2 linked regions of the Mus musculus genome follow. The protein of the gene in region 1 binds, or shares a complex with, the protein of each later gene. Links are inferred from orthologs where the notes say so. Each region holds a gene or a part of one and is shown in the gene's direction. Other genes may lie near its edges.

Evidence for each region.
Region 2: the proteins of Gabbr2 (region 1) and Kctd16 are in contact, whole or in part, in a crystal structure (PDB 6M8R), measured with the Homo sapiens proteins. The link is inferred for Mus musculus from reciprocal best matches to the Homo sapiens genes GABBR2 and KCTD16. Residues at the interface, in NP_005449.5 of Homo sapiens: Ile882, Asn883, Ile888, Gln889, Arg891, Leu892, Ser893, Leu894, Gln895, Leu896, Pro897, Ile898, Leu899; in NP_001357415.1 of Homo sapiens: Asn30, Gly32, Gly33, Gln34, Val35, Tyr36, Asp64, Leu65, Ala66, Lys67, Asp68, Ser69, Arg72, Phe74, Gly79, Phe80, Arg83.

The regions. Positions count from the first base shown.
Region 1 is NC_000070.6:46,988,869-46,993,205, reverse strand, and holds the start of Gabbr2 (gamma-aminobutyric acid type B receptor subunit 2 precursor), read left to right. Parts: upstream 1-1,491; 5' UTR 1,492-1,780; coding exon 1,781-2,098; intron 2,099-4,337. UniProt on the Homo sapiens protein: Component of a heterodimeric G-protein coupled receptor for GABA, formed by GABBR1 and GABBR2. Within the heterodimeric GABA receptor, only GABBR1 seems to bind agonists, while GABBR2 mediates coupling to G proteins.
Region 2 is NC_000084.6:40,255,389-40,259,886, forward strand, and holds the start of Kctd16 (BTB/POZ domain-containing protein KCTD16), read left to right. Parts: upstream 1-1,610; 5' UTR 1,611-2,259; exon of another isoform or gene 2,260-2,293; intron 2,294-2,641; 5' UTR 2,642-2,972; coding exon 2,973-3,804; intron 3,805-4,498. UniProt on the Homo sapiens protein: Auxiliary subunit of GABA-B receptors that determine the pharmacology and kinetics of the receptor response. Increases agonist potency and markedly alter the G-protein signaling of the receptors by accelerating onset and promoting desensitization.

The DNA.
Region 1 (4,337 bases):
ACTATTACCTCTAGACTATTTTTTTGGCTGGAAGATGGGGGTGCTTGGATGAGCTGTGCTCTTGTACAAAACCTTCAGCCGAGAGGGGAGGAATTATAGCCGCCTAGAAAGTGGCTATGCGGGCAGGCGCCCTGGCTGATTTGGCCTCAGGGTCTCTGGAGCTGTCCAAGGTACTGCCGTCCTCAATTCAGCCTGGGCTCTATCTTCCAGGTTTCCTCCGGGTTTCCTGCCCAGCTCCAAATATGCAGACTCCATTTAGATGACCCATTACAAACTGTGTGGAGGAACGGGATCTAGAGCTACTGAGAGCACCGTGGCCTCCATGTCCTCCTTTTGGAAGGGCTTTCCAATATCAGGGGTGCATAAGAGTCCTTTGTGGCTGTGCATTCTGCTTCCCCTGTATTAGCTGTATATTATCGATCAGTGTATTCTTCTGTAAAACGGGAATGATAGACCCACTGTACTAAGCGTATACGGCTGTTTTGAGGATACATCAGATATGTCAGGTAGCAAGCAGTTAGTGAAGGTTAAATTCCCACCCTTGTTACAAGGTCGTGCTTTTGGTCCACAATGCTTGGATGGGCTGTTTTATAATGTAATGTAATGTATCCTTGTACTAGTCAGGCTTTGGGATGTTGTAGGTTAGTGCTCACAAGTGCCATGATTCACAGGGAGGCACAGAGGGGTTACTCAGGTTCATCTTGTCCAGGACTACTTTGCCTGGGGTTATCCAGTGTGTTTATACCACCTGGGAGACAGAATGAGCCAAGTCCAGGCTGTGCTTCTTGGGACTGAAGACAGGGTTCCCACCCAGGGGAGAATTTTAAGGCGGGGCCCTCTGGGACTGGGGACACCGGGAGGTCAAACGCCTGGAGGAGGCGGTAGTACTCATAGGTCTCCTATCCCAGCCCTGACCTGGGCTTGGCAAAGGACTCCAGACTGGATCAAGGGTCCCAGGTTCCCTGGTAGCTGGCACAGGAGAGCGCAGGCTGCTGGTGCCCCTAGGACACCTTTGTAGAACGTTCGTTTCCTCGACTCGCCCGCCCAGACCTGGGAGAAGCAGTACCCAACCACCTTGCAGGTGCTACAGGAAGCGCAAGGCGAGGCGCCCGCGTCCCCCGCGCATAGCAGCTTCGATTCCCCCGAACGTGGGGCTCTGGAGCTCAGTCCCCGGCGGCGGGGTCAGCCGGCCGCAGCAGCCGGCGCGGCGCAGCGCCCGGGGCGCGAGTGTGCGTGTGCCGGGAGCACGGCCCTCCCCGCGGCAGCCGCAGCGCCGGCGCCTCCCCCTCCCCCGGCGCGCACGGCCCGTCCCTGTCCCCGGAGGCGGCCCGAGCCGCCGCTCAGCAGCCTTGCCTTCGCCTCCCGAGCCTCCTGCCGCCCTCCCTCCCCTGGCCGGGCTCCAGGGTCCGACGTCCCGCGGCTCCGAGCAGGAAAGAGCTGCGATCGCGCACGGAGGCGGGAGGAGGCGGCCGGGTGCGGGGCGGCCGCGCTGGAGAGAGGCGCGCGGAGACTCGGCCCCCTCGGCGCTCGCTCGCTCGCTCGCTCGTTGGCTCCCCGCCTCCCGCACTCCGCTGGCTCCCACCCCTTCCCGGCGTGATTGATCCGTCACGGGCGCCGCCGCCGCCGCCGCGGCCGTTCTGAGCGAGCAGAAGCCGGAGCCGAGCCGGGGCCCGTGCCGGCGCCATTGCGCGGGAGCCGCGGGCAGAGCTCGGCGCCGGGCGGCGGGCCGGGCCAGGCCATGCGGGCCGAGTGAGCTGGCGCCCGCAGCCCGCGGCGCGGCATGGCTTCCCCGCCGAGCTCCGGGCAGCCCCGGCCGCCGCCGCCACCGCCGCCGCCCGCGCGCCTGCTGCTGCCCCTGCTGCTGTCGTTGCTGCTGTCGTTGGCTCCCGGGGCCTGGGGCTGGGCGCGGGGCGCCCCCCGGCCGCCGCCCAGCAGCCCGCCGCTCTCCATCATGGGCCTCATGCCGCTCACCAAGGAGGTGGCCAAGGGCAGCATCGGGCGCGGCGTGCTCCCCGCCGTGGAGCTAGCCATCGAGCAGATCCGCAACGAGTCACTCCTGCGCCCCTACTTCCTGGACCTGCGACTCTACGACACCGAGGTAAGTGTCCAGTGACCCATGCCGTCGAGGCTGGGGGCGTCGAGGAGGGACAGAGCCGTGATTGTCTCCTCCTCGCTGGCTGACCGCGTACTGGGTCCATCAGGGTCTCACTGGGCTTGGCTGGAGCAGGTGGGACCCTGATCTGTGAGCACCTTCCACCTCTGTGTGGGTGTGGAATGGGGGTCTCCTTTGACCAGAGGAGGAGTTAGAGATGTGAGAGGTTGGACTCCCAGAGGCCTGCGCCGGTTGCCCCTGTCCGGTGCTGCTCCTAGGGTTGTCAGGTGCCAAGTAAGAGGAACACGCACACTGATTACAAACTGGGCCAGCCACAGCTGGACAGGCTATGGGGCCTATTCCCAGACCCTAAAAATTCCAAGCCGCCCTTTTAGGGCTAGAGGGCTCCAGGACCCTCGGGGGCCAAGCTTCGGGCAGGACCGATCCTGTGGTGCACTTCTGCAGCTCAGGGCTCGCGCGCGCCACGGTCAGCCTCGGAGCCCGGAGGGTTCTGCAGCGCTGCTGCCTGGATCTGTCCAGCGCTGGCAGTAGCTGGAGCAGTTTTGGGAGACTCCCCTTCCCCCTCTCCCCGCCTTGGGTTAGTTGCTCATAGAGTGGCTTGACAGGTCTAGCCCGGGACGTGTGGTGGTGTCCGATCGCGCTTCCACTTTTGTTCAGCAGCTGCTAACACCGCTGAGCAGGTGCACACTTGAGGCGTTCGTGTCGTGGGAGCCTAGACTTGGAGTGTGGCAGAGGGTTCCCCTCTGGCCTTCTTTTCTGAGCAGAGCTGGAGAACCAAGACCTTTCCATCCCAAACCCCGATCTCACGCCCTCATGTCTAGGTTTCCAAGGAGCCTCAGCTCAGACCCTGACTGCCCACTCTGAGGCTAGGACGAAGAGAGGGCCTGGAAGAGCGATCAGGAATAAGGACGGGTTTGCGAGTTTTTCCGGACCCAGGGAGCCCCTACTCTCCGGTCCGCAGCCTCGAGAGATAAGATTCGGCCTGAAGGGGGCAGTGATTTCCTTTACTGAGAGCTCTGTTGGCGCCTCTTGCATCTCTCCCAGCAAAGCCAGGGCGAGCTCTGGACCCTTGCTTCCCGGGCTCCCCCAGCGCACCTTTGCTGGAGCTCCCGGGCAGACTCCTCAAGAAAGGAGCATCCCCCTGGTGGTGTAACCTGGGCTTGGCTTCTTCCCCTGCCTGACCCCTTTTTTATACCCCCTCCCGGAAAAGAGCATAATGTAGATTGTATCTCATTCCCCGCCTCCCCCGCTTCACCAGTGAAGCAGCCTGCTGTTCTGCTCTGTAAATAAAAGGTGAAGGAATTGGTGGCAGTTGGTAACGGTGAGCTCAGGTTGCTGCAGGCAGAGAGGCTCCTCTGCCTCGGGAAGAGGCACACTGGGTGGCTGTACAGGGCTAACCGTGTGTGAAATCACTTTCGATTGACGTTCCTGACGACCTCCTTTTTTCTCCCTCCCCCCTCAGTGTTTCAAGTTCTTTAGGGGTACCTGTCTGGCACAAGCACATTGAGATGGGTATGCATTTATGCAGAGGCATATATCCTTGGCACACTTTCATGTGGCTTCCACCCATATTCTGGAAGGGACAGGGACAGGGACAGGCCGGTTCTTAGAAGACAAAAGCAATTGTAGACAGGGCTGCCCTGTATACATCTTCACTATGTCTTGTAAAACCTTTTCGAATGCTTCCTGAGAAGTTTCTCATTAGTCCATTTGTGGTAGCAGAGGGATGGGCGCTTGGTTGCAGGGTGTGGGCCAACGCTTTTACATTTTTTTTCTCAAGTGTGTCTTGGTGGCTTTCTGAGTGAGAGGACCCAAAGTCAAGAGGATGAGGCAGTCAGAGGAGCTTTGGTTGGTGGGAATATTTCAGGCACAGCACTGGGTTTCCCTCTAATGTCAACTGTACCTGATCTGGGGCTTAGGGTTGAACACTGCAGAAATAGGTTATCCCTCTGACCTCCTGACCCCGCCCACCCATGACCTTGAATTGGACACTTAATCTCTAATGCCTCTAAATGCAGGTGTTCAGATCTCAAGAGCAGAGTGGTTAGCCATCCTCTGTCGGATGGCGTCCAGGGGCTTACAGAGAGATGCCAGCAGGCTCCACTGCCAGCACTCTGTCTGGCACGCTGTAAGCACTCAATAAATAACTGCCTCCCTTCCTGCACTTCCATTTGGTGTGGATTCACCAGTGAGACACTATGGCTTTAGGTGGGATAAGTCAGTC
Region 2 (4,498 bases), on another chromosome or scaffold:
GTCTCAACATGAACGGTAGAAACAAAAGCCCAAGCATACACTTACTTTCTTATTCACCCCAACCAGTATTGAAGTCTGCATAGACTCAGACCTACTCTTATCTCTAACATGGTGAAAATGAAATGTTTACTTTGTTGTCATGGTGAATAATGAATACAAAGTAAATTCAGTTCACTATAAAAACTTAAAAATAGGTAACATTTTTAAACTTAGCTAAATTTCCAGATAACAAACTGTCCTGATAGTTTTGGACACTAGATGGCGATATAAGCGCATCACATAAACATTTCCTTAATTGGTCCAGCTTTAAAATCAAGGCGTTGGAGGCCAGAGAGCAGGTTAATGCATTAGTTTAAGCAGCAAAGTCAAATATAATCAGGTGTTCGAGAGTGAGCTAATATTCCAAATGTGTTCAGTAACCCAATGATTATTGAAAGAAAAGATTGTTACACACACACACACACACACACACACACACATTTCAGTCTGCTGTTGAAAGATCTTCAAGCTAATTCATGGGGCAAAAGTTGGCACTGAACACAGGAATCTCCTCCATTTCCCTCCATTTTTGATTTTAACCTTTTAAATTATCAGTTGTTTGGGATGGTGTGTGCTTCACCTTATTGACGAATAAGTGTGTTCTTATCAGAGATGTGAGCCCAGGACATTGCATATTTTTAGGGGAAATGGCGGAGTTACTGTAAGCTGTTGGCTGGGCCATTATTGACTGGCAGGCTCAACTGGAAGCACTTCGTTAGTGTATTAGGTTGCCCTGGAAATGCCTTCTTGAAACTCTAATGATGCACTTAAGGGAGCCCGCTGGGACAGGAGTAAAATCTCTCTTAGCAGGCAGGCGTGTCTTCCACGGGAGTACTCTTGGGATGGGTTGGGATGGGCAGGCACATTCAAGAGTCTCAGTAAGGAGGCAGCCTCAGAACAGGTTGCAGGAGGCAGTTTCTTTCAGGTGAGTCAAGATAATGACTTACTGCTAAAACTCCTAGTTTTTTATGGATAGTTGAATTTTGAAAGAGCATCCTTAATCCTGTTCTCGTGTGTGTGTGTGTGTGTGTGTGTGTGTGTGTGTGTGTATTGGTGGATGGAATGAAGGGGAAAAGGTATTTGACTGAGTATGACTGTAATCCAAGGATGTTTTTAAAAATTACAAACACTTGTAACTTGAACATTCCATAGGATTAAAGGGAAAATGGCTTAAAAGGAGAAGTGCGCCCGCCCGTTTGTTTGCAGAGTCACGCGTTTGAAGAGTTCCTCCGAAGGTTTTTTTTTTTTTTTTTTCAAAAGAAAATCACAGCCAGGATGGAGGGTAATTGATAGGGGGAGGGGGCTGCGGTGGAGGGACAACCAAGGAAGAAGCTGCTTGTGCAAACTCCAGACCACAGGCTGGGGGCCCCTGTACCGTGCAACGTCCCCGCCCTGTGTCAGCAGCCAGCGCCTCTGGTCCCGTGCCCACCGCGAGCGCACGTCCCCGTCAGTGCTGGCAACCTGTCACCGCCGAGGACGTGACTCCGAGCTGCCTCCGCTCTCTCCAAGCCCTATTCCTTTAAGATGATGTAATAGTCATTTCCCTGGATGGTTTCTTGCCTGCACTGCTCACACAACAGCATCCGAACTGCTCCTGGCACCGTGGGACCTCTCAGCTTCGGAGCCCAAGCCCCGCAGGCATCTCTCGCCTTCCCGGCTGCTTTTCCTTCCCACCTGGCGGGGACATGGGCGTCCCTTTGCCCTTGCCTGCAGGTGGGGTGGCTGCTGCAACCCTGGGGGGCGCATCTATCTGTCGCCCTGCCTCTGGGCTCTCTGAATGCCTCTAAGTCCAGGTACCTCTTGCAACTCTTCCAGGTGCAAAGGATTTATCTGTTCTATAAGGTTTGGATTTCGTTTTTTCTTTTTTTCCTACGGAAGCTTTGGTTGAATATATATATTTTTTTCCTCTGCTCCACTTCTTCGACTCAGCATCCTCTCGGTTCAACTTTTTTCCCCCCCGATTCGTTTTAGCTAGAGATTAGATGTGAATGCATACACCCATTCATACACACATAGAAACGTACACCTACTAGAGCTTAAGTGTGGAATCATTGTTTTCCGAGAGCACCAATCTCTTGACACTTTTCATCGATACCTCTGTCCTTTACCTGTTTGGGATTTGACAAGACGTCCAGGCTCAGTGTGTGGCTGTGGTTTCTGATTGCTCTGGAAAAGGTTATTTCTTCGCAAGAACTGAGTCTCCAGCACTCACTCGCTAAGGTAAGCGCAGAGACTCACTGCTTTCTCTGTCCTGCTGGAAAAAAAAAAAAAAAAAAAAAAAAAAAAAAAAAAAAACGGGTCTCTTTGGAAGTTGAAAACTGCATATGCCTTTCACATCAGATTTGCAAACAGGATCGATTTGAACAGCAGTTGCTGGAGACAGTGGCATGTGGATAAACTTAAAGACTCGATACACCCCTAGGGAAGAACTCACTCAGTTAAGGAGTGATTAAACTCCGTAGGTGCAGGCTGCTTATGTAAAAATAATATTCCCTCTTCCCTGTCATTTTGCCCCCCTCTCTCCCTCTCTACTCTCCCCAGAGGTCTCTCCTTTTCTGACTCATTCTGGGTCTGAGGAAATCGTTTTTCTCTTTTCTCTTAGACAGACCTCTGAGTAACTGGGCATTTGGCCTTCTTGCCTACAGAGCCTAATGGAAGATTGAATGTAGAGGAGCCGATTATTACATCCTGTGAAGTAAGAGCTCGCTATCAGCCAGCTTTTAACTTCTCCTCCAGCATTATTTCAACTGTGGACTCTCCTAAAATCTGCTTTGTTGGGAGAATAAAAACCAAAACAAAACCAGGGTAAGAAGGGGTGATTTAAAAAGAAAAGTTAGTATCTTTATCTTACCTCACTCGTGGATGCAAAGTCTAGGGCTGTAACTCAGTTGGATTGCACCTTTAATTCCAGGAGGCTGCAGAAGAAAGGGACAATGGCTCTAAGTGGGAACTGTAGCCGTTATTATCCTCGGGACCAGGGGGCTGCTGTTCCCAACTCCTTCCCTGAAGTCATAGAGCTGAATGTTGGCGGCCAGGTTTACTTCACTCGCCATTCCACATTAATAAGCATCCCCCATTCTCTCCTGTGGAAAATGTTCTCCCCAAAGAGAGACACTGCTAACGATCTAGCCAAGGACTCCAAGGGAAGGTTTTTCATTGACAGAGATGGCTTTCTGTTCCGTTATATTCTGGACTATCTCAGGGACAGGCAGGTGGTCCTGCCTGATCACTTTCCAGAAAGAGGAAGGCTGAAAAGAGAAGCTGAGTACTTCCAGCTCCCTGACCTCGTCAAACTCCTGGCCCCCGAGGATGTCAAGCAAAGCCCGGATGAGTTCTGCCACAGTGACTTCGAAGATGCCTCCCAAGGAAGCGACACGAGAATCTGCCCCCCCTCTTCGCTGCTTCCTCACGACCGCAAGTGGGGTTTTATTACTGTGGGTTACAGGGGATCCTGTACCTTGGGCAGAGAGGGGCAAGCAGATGCCAAGTTCCGGAGAGTCCCCCGGATTTTGGTTTGCGGAAGAATTTCCTTGGCAAAAGAAGTCTTTGGAGAAACTTTGAATGAAAGTAGAGACCCCGACCGAGCTCCAGAAAGATACACCTCCAGATTTTATCTCAAGTTTAAACATCTGGAAAGAGCTTTTGATATGTTGTCAGAGTGTGGATTCCACATGGTGGCCTGTAACTCCTCGGTTACAGCATCTTTTGTCAACCAGTATACAGAAGATAAGATCTGGTCGAGCTATACTGAGTACGTCTTCTATCGTAAGTAGCTTCTGTTTATTTTTGTGTGTATTAGTTCTCTTCACAAATACTGGTTTGGGATTACAGTTATGCTAAACTATAGGTAGAGTCCTAGATGCTACATACAGTTCAGTTCTTTCAGAGCCTTACTGGGAGATTCTTTTATCCCGGAGGAATCTGGTTCTTTTCCAATGAAGTTACAGGATAGTCAGAGATTTTAAAAGTCAGAAGGGACCAATGATGTTGGAATAGTTTCTAAGGAAGCATATGTGACTTTTTCCTGCATAGTGATTTGTGAAAGTGGGGTTGTTGTTGGTTCACAGGGTTTGGAGGTTTTGCAGAGTCAGAATGGATGAAGGACTCCTGCCAATCCTTTCAGCTAAACTCTTGGGGTCTGTTAAGCTGATTGCTGCAGGCTTGCTTTCATTAGTGGCTTTCTGAACACAAATGGACTTTGTACAGAGTGAGATGGTCTTGGCTAGATGGCAGTGCAGACTGCTGAAAAGCACCCCACTTCCCCCAGGTCTGATATTTACTTTTATGGGTCTTGCAAATCTGTTGTTTGGTTCTTTAACATTTTCTACTGAGATTGGAGTTTCATTGCAGGCTTAATTAAGCTGAACTTTGTTTAAGATGCATCTAAAAGGAACTAGATCCCTGAGGATTGCCAACAAGATGCAAATGCCTCAGATGCTAAGGTGATAAAATTTATATA